Neurospora crassa OR74A: one gene and its partner. The protein of the gene in region 1 interacts with the protein of each later gene in a pairwise test. Links are inferred from orthologs where the notes say so. Each region holds a gene or a part of one and is shown in the gene's direction. Other genes may lie near its edges.

The links.
Region 2: the proteins of NCU02963 (region 1) and NCU06941 interact in binary tests that used the Saccharomyces cerevisiae proteins (3 or more experiments, as listed by UniProt). The link is inferred for Neurospora crassa OR74A from reciprocal best matches to the Saccharomyces cerevisiae genes GIM5 and YKE2.

What each region holds. Positions count from the first base shown.
Region 1 is NC_026501.1:8,561,211-8,565,568, reverse strand, and holds NCU02963 (c-myc binding protein), read left to right. Parts: upstream 1-1,253; 5' UTR 1,254-1,405; coding exon 1,406-1,427; intron 1,428-1,679; coding exon 1,680-1,841; intron 1,842-2,315; coding exon 2,316-2,425; intron 2,426-2,478; coding exon 2,479-2,596; intron 2,597-2,675; coding exon 2,676-2,731; 3' UTR 2,732-3,002; coding exon of another isoform or gene 3,003-3,414; 3' UTR 3,415-3,554; downstream 3,555-4,358. Other genes in the region: NCU02962 (hypothetical protein), read right to left, coding at 1-95, 161-766; NCU02964 (hypothetical protein), read right to left, coding at 3,003-3,414, 3,555-3,785, 3,868-4,358.
Region 2 is NC_026507.1:844,061-847,374, reverse strand, and holds NCU06941 (prefoldin subunit 6), read left to right. Parts: upstream 1-1,337; 5' UTR 1,338-1,536; coding exon 1,537-1,600; intron 1,601-1,654; coding exon 1,655-1,725; intron 1,726-1,819; coding exon 1,820-1,944; intron 1,945-2,002; coding exon 2,003-2,123; 3' UTR 2,124-2,428; downstream 2,429-3,314. Other genes in the region: NCU06942 (vacuolar protein sorting-associated protein VPS4), read right to left, coding at 18-670; NCU06940 (hypothetical protein), read right to left, coding at 2,429-3,105, 3,207-3,243. UniProt on the Saccharomyces cerevisiae protein: Binds specifically to cytosolic chaperonin (c-CPN) and transfers target proteins to it. Binds to nascent polypeptide chain and promotes folding in an environment in which there are many competing pathways for nonnative proteins.

The sequences.
Region 1 (4,358 bases):
ACACAAGAGTGATTAACCATAGAAAGACTAGGGTGAAGATAGATGCCCGCCTGTCCCGTGTCGGCATCAAACCTGTTGAACGCATTCGTTTGGATCTAAGGTCGCCGCACTAGTCAGTTCACATCACACGTCGATACCCAGACTTCCACATCAAACTCACCTTGCACAAAACCTCCATAGCCTGCTTCAACGTCTCATCACTCTGCAACAAACCCGCATAAACCACCGCCCCCGTAGCCTGTAATTCGAAATCACCCCACAAGCCCTCATCAGTCTTGAACCCCTCCACATTACTCTCCAACGTACCACCAGGCCCAAACGCCTTGACAGTCTCCTCATCCCCAGCCTTCAACAACAGCATCACCTGCGCCACCGCCCTCACGGGAGTCGGCAACCAGTCCTTGCCCGTCCGCTCCTGGATTCGCTTGAACATCTTGCATTCGGCCTTATGCACCAGCTTCCAGTGCGCCCGCTGGCACTCGGCGTTGCAGTACACGGCCGCCTTGCAGCCCGTGCACGCCTTGCACGTCCGGGCCCCCGCTTCCACATCGCCCTCGAACTCGATCGTCCCGCTGACATAGAGGCAGTAGTTGCAGGTCGTCCGCATGTTGGCGTCGTCTGGGAGAGCGAGCAAGGGGTTTTCGATGATGGCGATGGTTTCGCCGGCGCCGAAGCGCTCCGTGGAGAAGAGGCTGCGGCCCCGGTCGACGCCGGGGATGCCGCCGATGCGGGTTTTGGGGATGGGAGATGGCAGTGAGGGCGCCATGATGGTGGTGCTTCTCTGCGAGTTTGGGTTGGGGTTTGTTGATGAGGTGAAGAAGAAATTCGGGTGTTTGTTTGTTAGAGGTTGCTGGGGTGACCGTTCTTATGTGTAACGCGAAAAGTTGAGGTGCCACCCGTTGATAGTGGCAACCGACGAGAAAGTTTGAAGAGAGCGAGAAGGATAAAATGCTGTTTCCAGTACAGTTTTCCGTTATACTCAACCCAGTAAGCCGCTTCGCCGTGTATTTCTCTTGGAACAAGATGGTCAGTTCGAGGATTGGCTCCTCAATGGACCTATCTATGTTGTCGAGGAAAAGTGAGAAGATGGTTGTCAGGAGAAAGTCAAGTCACTGTTTACTCGGTACTACATACCTAGGATCTCGGGCATGTACCCCGCCTGCAGCGAACAGGGGAAAGCGACGAAGCGACCCCTGGAAGCCCGCAAAATTCTGCCCCACAGAGCTGCTCTCATAGCGGGGCAACCACCTCCACGCACTACCTCTATCGTTGCTGCCGGCCCTCGTGGCCGCCCGATCAACTGGAACTGAACCTCGTTCAAACATCACATTCGGTTTTGTGAATTAGACACTCTTACATCTAGCCCATTCCTCTCTCGATTACAAACGAATAAGAAAGCGTAAAGATGTCTGGCAAGCAAGAAGGAGGTAAGTATCTCCCCTTTCACCGCTGCCCGCTCCTTTGAACCTTGCAAGCTCCCACTCATTCAAGGGAGCTTCATGTTCGCTCCTCCTCTAAAGCTCAATCAAGCTTCGAGCTCAAGCTTCACCTTACCTTCCCCATCCCCCCCCCTGGTCACCTCCCGCACTCATCTCACCCCCTTTAGTCCACACCATGATGCCGCCCCCATTCCCCGTTTGATGTTTCAATGTGTGGCAGTCACTAACAGACCTTCCCAGTCAACATTGAGAGCCTCAGCGCTCAACAACTTACCGCCGTCAAGCAGCAGCTAGACGAGGAGGTCGAGCACCTGACGGCCTCGTACACGCAGCTAGCTGCGGCGCAGGCCAAGTTCAAAGAGTGCTTGCGAATCGTGCAGACAGGAAGCAGTTCTTTTGATGGTATGTTTAGTTGACCTGTTTCCTTCATTTTTCTTTCATCTTGATGTGGTAGATGAGATGGGGTGGATCGTCTATGAGTATATTCGAAGGGCCGGGAGTTTGGGGGATGGGGATGGATTTTGTCAAGCTTCCACTTGACGGTCAACCTCTTCGTGAGCTTTTGTCTCATTCTCTGATGTGACCCGATGAGCTATCCCTTTTTTTCTCCAGTCCTCTTCATCCCACTTACAACCATAACAAACGTCTACACCTCATTTTACTTTTATCTACTCATCTCATGGCGGTGATGTCGCCATCCTCCACCTCCCCACGCCTCATATCTCCCATCCTCATATCCGATCAACACCCTTTCTTCCCACCTGCTGTTCCACCACGCCCATCCTACAATTCCATTCCCTTCATCCCGACCCAAGCCCAGCCGAACGCCTACCCTCCAGTCATGGTCACCGCTGACAACAAGACCCCATTCAACAGACAACAAAGACATCCTCGTGCCCCTCACCAACTCCCTCTACGTCAAGGGCAAGCTCTCCAACCCCGACCGCGTGATCGTCGATGTTGGTACTGGGTTCTACGTCGAAAAGGTACGTCTCTCCGCCACGAACGGCACTACATGTTATTAACTCGAAGCGTTCAGGACACCAAAAGTGCCACTGATTTCTACGATGCCAAGGTCAAGGAACTTGGCGCCAACATTCAGAACTTGGAAGCCATTGTCCAGGGAAAGACTAACAACCTCCGCGTGGTGGAAGAAGGTACGGCATTCTCCTCTTTTTCTTGAGCTGTCCGTGCATTTCAGCCATGGCATTGTTACTAACAAGAATCAACATCTAGTCTTGAGGCAGAAGGTGCTGGCACAAGGAGCTGGACCTGCATCGGCACAGGCATAGTGGAGAATCTGACTTGTTATTGTGTGATTAAGCGAAGCAAAAAAAAACAAACAAAAAACGACAAAAATACAACTTGGGCACAGCTACTTGGTGTATGTCCTCGATCTCCTTGAATACGCGTTGAGCCATTGACGATTATTATGACGACACACCCATGTATTCGAAGAACCGTTCCGCGACCTTGAGCTCAGCAGCCAAACATCACTACTTCAGCTCTTAATACCTCACCACGACAACTTTCCATCTACAACTGCTGATAGCCCGCGTCTGTCTATACAGTTCTTTCCAGCACCGTTTGGACCTTTCCAACCCAGTGCAATAAGGCATCAAGCGGGTCAAGATCCCTAGTGGGGTCAGCGGATGACATGGATGACTTGAAGAACTGTTCTGGAAACGCTTCCCAGGACCGCGGTCCGGCTGAAACGTCAGCATTGGCCATGTGGTCGTCCCACTCCGGTCGATACATGCTGACGCTCACACCAGCGACGGGCTCTTGAGGCTGTCGGCTCTTGGTGCCCGAGATAGTGCTCCACTGCCGGTACAGGGAAAGCTCAACGATGTAGTCCTTGTTGAGGTAATAGGACCAGGTCGTCTTGCCAATGAGAGCCTCAATATGGTGTTTCTGTGCGAAGGACGCCGCAATGTGAGGCTCAATACAACGGGTGTTCTCATTGTGACGAATCCTGATGCCCTTGCTCAGTGTATGTTGATCGAGTGGGAGCTTATTGCCGGTCTCATCGATGGGAGACTCGACTTTCAAGACCCAGTCGTGATTTCTGGGATGTGTTAGTTTGGCAAGGAAGTGAGAAAGATGCCGACTTACTTGTCAGGGCATGCTGTGGCAAGTTCGACACTACGGTGGCTCTTCTCTCGATGGAAGACGTTCAATGAGCCGAAAGTAAAACCACAGATTTGATTTTTATCGACGCTCACTTCCAGGTTGACATTTTTCGTCGTCACAATCACAAAGTTTTCTATGCCTTGGGGGCCTTCAAAGTCTGGATCGAGGGAGAAGGCATGTTGAATCTTTTCGCGCATTGATTCACCACCCAGTCTGAGCAGTGTTAGACATTAATCGCCTGGGAAAGCGACCAGAAAAAGGAGAACCAGAAGGGAAGACCAGAGTATACACTTACCTCATCTCCATGTAAGAAGTCCCTCTGCTGCTCACCCTGCGAGCCAACTTCGAGAACTCATCGAGCGTATAGCTCGTAGTACCCCGCTTGCGTTCTTTGAAGAACAGTTTGCCGAAAGCGATCTGCATGCGCATCCTATTGGGACAATACCGCAAGCCATCACCCACGCGGACCATCGCAGCAGCAAGATCGCTCTTGTAAGCTTGGACAGCCAAAGCATCGGCCACCTCAGTAGAGTCGGTGAGTGTCGCGGCTGGTCGAAACCATGTGGTTTCAGGGCTGTCCTGGAGAAGTATCCGTATGACACGCTTGTCGCTGCTGGGCGGAGCCACAAGTACTGAATCTCGCCAGACTGTCGCATGCCCTTCACGGAGCATCAAGCTCCTCAAGATGCTGCGTATGGCCGCCTGGGCGTTCTTGGGAGAAGCAGCGGAGATCTGGATGGGATCCTCCTGTGCTTTGAGGCAGATCCTGACACGGTGCTGTTGTTC
Region 2 (3,314 bases), on another chromosome or scaffold:
AACAGGACAAAACATACCGTTCACTCTCACCCATCCACTTGCTCACCAAATCCGAGCTGCTCACGCTGAAGAACGTGCTCTTCGCCTCTGTCGCCACTGCCTTGGCCAAATAACTCTTTCCTGTTCCCGGTGGGCCATACAGCAAAATACCCTTCCACGGCTGCCTCTTCCCCTGGAACAGATGCGGGAACTTGATTGGCAACAAGACCGCCTCCTTGAGGGCCTCCTTGGCACCCTCTAGACCAGCCACATCATCCCAGCTGATGTTCGGCCGTTCCTGCAGAATCGCGCCCGCCAACGCACTTCTCAGCTTCTTGCTATCCTCATCCAACGCTTCTCCATTGCCATTACCGTCCTCCCCGGCCTCCTTCCCCTTCCCCGTCCCGCCCGTCGAACCCCCGTTCGCGCCCACCATCCCGGGCTTCTTCCGCTTCGCTTCCGCGTCCGCCAGGTGCGCTTTGAGCTTCTCGGCCCGGTCCATGTACTCGCCCGTCTTGGCCCGGATCATCTCCTTGGATTTCGGGTTCTTCTCCCATTTTAGGGCGAGCATGAAGAGTTCGAGCGATTGGTAGTACAGCTGGTAGGCTTTGTCGTACTGGGCGGCGTTGTCGGCTTCGATGGCTTTGCGCACTTGCTCGATGGCGCGGCCGAGGAAGTCGGTATTGGACATTTTGTGCGGCGGCGGCTCGAAGCGTGTAAAGTGATGTCGCGTGAATTCGTGGTTTAGTCGAGTGTAGGATTGGTCGCTCTTCTTGGTACGCCGTAGTAAGCGTTTGTAGTCGTTATACTTGTTTGCTTCTTCGCTCGGACAAGGAGAGTTTGTTGATATTCGCGCGCCGAGGTTCGAAGTCAATGTCAACAGATGGCCATATGCGAGGGAGGAGACCCGTTGATGACGACTGCTGTTGTCCTAGGCTACGGCAACGAGAGTGGCAGAGATAAGGTGAAGAGAAATCGGGAATTGGTCGTATCTTGCGGGCGTCACCTGGCAACGACTACGGCAAGACTGTCTTCTGGCACAAAAAAGTTGGTGTCGCGCCCTGGTCTGAGGTGGAATTGGAGAGGGGAAGATCGTTGGTGGTCTTGTCCATATCTTGGTTAGTTTCAAGCAACGAGGTCGACTTGTCTTGGCCGTTGACCTGGAAGCGCTAGCGTAGCGCGGGGTCCTGTTATGGTTCCCGGCCTGGGGGCCACTGACGCCACTTGTTTGCGCGTGGAGAGAGCGCTGGTCTGGGGCTGTTAGTACTTTGCTTGAGGATACACTCCTGCACTAACAGCTAAAGCTTGGGCACTGACTTTGGGATCTGCTCAGCTCACCCCTGACGATTGACTGCACAGCGAGCTCAGTTCCCCGGAATAGAAACCTCCAAATTCCCCATACTGGAGCTCATCTGTGTTTCTTGTTCCTGCATTTTGATCCATCATCTTCCCTCCCTCACTGTGTCCAAACCCTTTTTCAGTTTTCGAACGTCATCGCCTAGTAACTTTTCAGCATAACCCTGTCTCTCACTTCACATCACCCTCAAAGAAGCAGCCATGGCCAGCCCCCTCCAACTAAAGCTCCAAGCTCTCTCTGATGAGTATCAAAACCTGAACAAAGGTGAGCCCCCCTTATGATGATATCCCCGTAGTTCATTCACTAACTGTACCTCAGAACTCCAAGAGACTGTTCTCGCCAGACAGAAGCTCGAGGCTCAGAAGCAGGAAAACGTCAGCGTGCAAAATGTCAGCTTTTCTCCAAGCATCGCGCTCGCATGCCCAATGCCTTTCGCCAAATTCTGCCCAAGGAAAAAATGGGGACTAACTGAGCACCATGTAGGAGTTCGAGAAGCTCAAGGATGACGAGCAGATCTTCAAGCTAGTGGGCCCGGTGCTGCTCAAGCAGGACAAGATGGATGCAGAGAACACAGTCAAGGGTAGACTGGAGTTCATCAGCAAGGAGATGTAAGTTGAACTGCTGCATGGGATCTTGAGTTACAACGCAACTGACCCACTGTCACAGCACTCGCTTGGAGGGAGTCATCAAGGAGACACAGGGCAAGATTGAGAAGAAGAGGACAGAGATCATTCAGGTCCAGACGAGCGCCCAGGCTGGTGGTGCCCCTCAGGCCGTCAAGGCTTAGACCTAATGAAATCAGTTACGGAAAGAATGTCCACTATACCCAATCGAGATCAGGCGCAGGTACGATTCATCACACAGCGCTCCGGGGAAACTGTCTCGTGAATGCAGTCATAGGTCGATTTCTTTACCAAACGGTAATTATTACGTGATGTATTCATTGAAGATTCCCCCAAGATACCCCTTGACGCCTTGCTCTAAAATCGCTGAATGGGGATAACCAAAACACAACTTACACCCCCCTTCTCCCTGACCCTTACTCATCCACCCACCGACAGACCGCAGCTTCTCATCCTGTCTAGTATAACCTCAGTTCAGCGCCATAATTGTGAACCCCCACGGCAGCCCCATATTCTTGCAACTTCGGCCACTAACCCATGCCACACTATCACTCGACAAATCCTCGCCCGCCGCATTCAGCGAGAGCAGACTACTCCCGCCCTGCTGGGACGCCCGATCCGGATCCTCCACCATTGCCACCACAAAGCTGACCAGCTCGTCTTTGGTATAACAATGGCTCAGCAAGGACGTCGCGCCGATACGATCCAGCATCGTTCTGCGCTGTTCGCTCTCGGCAAAGAGCTGGAGCTCCCTGGAGAGGAGACTGGTCGTCAAGTCTCCTGACCCAGAGTTTGCGAAAGCTGCAGAAGAAGAAGAACAAGCACGCAAGAGCCGCTCAAAAACCATGGCCATCCCCGCAACAGCTTGGACGAACAGCGTCACCTTGTCGTGGTCGTCTAGCCCAGCCTCGATGCGGAATTCCTTTTCGGTCACGAAGGCGAGGCAGGAGGTGTCGAAGATGGAGTTGAGGATACGGTCGAGGCTGGAGGGCTGGGAGAGGAGGGCATGACTGCCATCCGGGAGGGCGTAGGTGTTGGTGAATTGGACGAGGATCTGTTTGAGTAGGGTGGAGAGGCAGGTCTCAGGGGGGACAAGGAGACGGCCCTGTTCGAATAATAGGTTGTCGGCTGCTGCTTCGATGCTGGCTGTTTATGTAGGAAGATGGGGTGTTAGTTTGGGCGTGACGGACGTGAGGGCTGTGAGAGGAGGAGGAAAGGGCTGGGTGGAGGAGTTGTGGTGGACTTGCCTTGCATTGGGCTTATGGAGGAGACTGTTGACGCCATTGTGATGAAGAGGAAGAAAATTGAGGGTATCACTGAGATGTGAGAATGGTAACAGTAACAGTGTAGGTTGG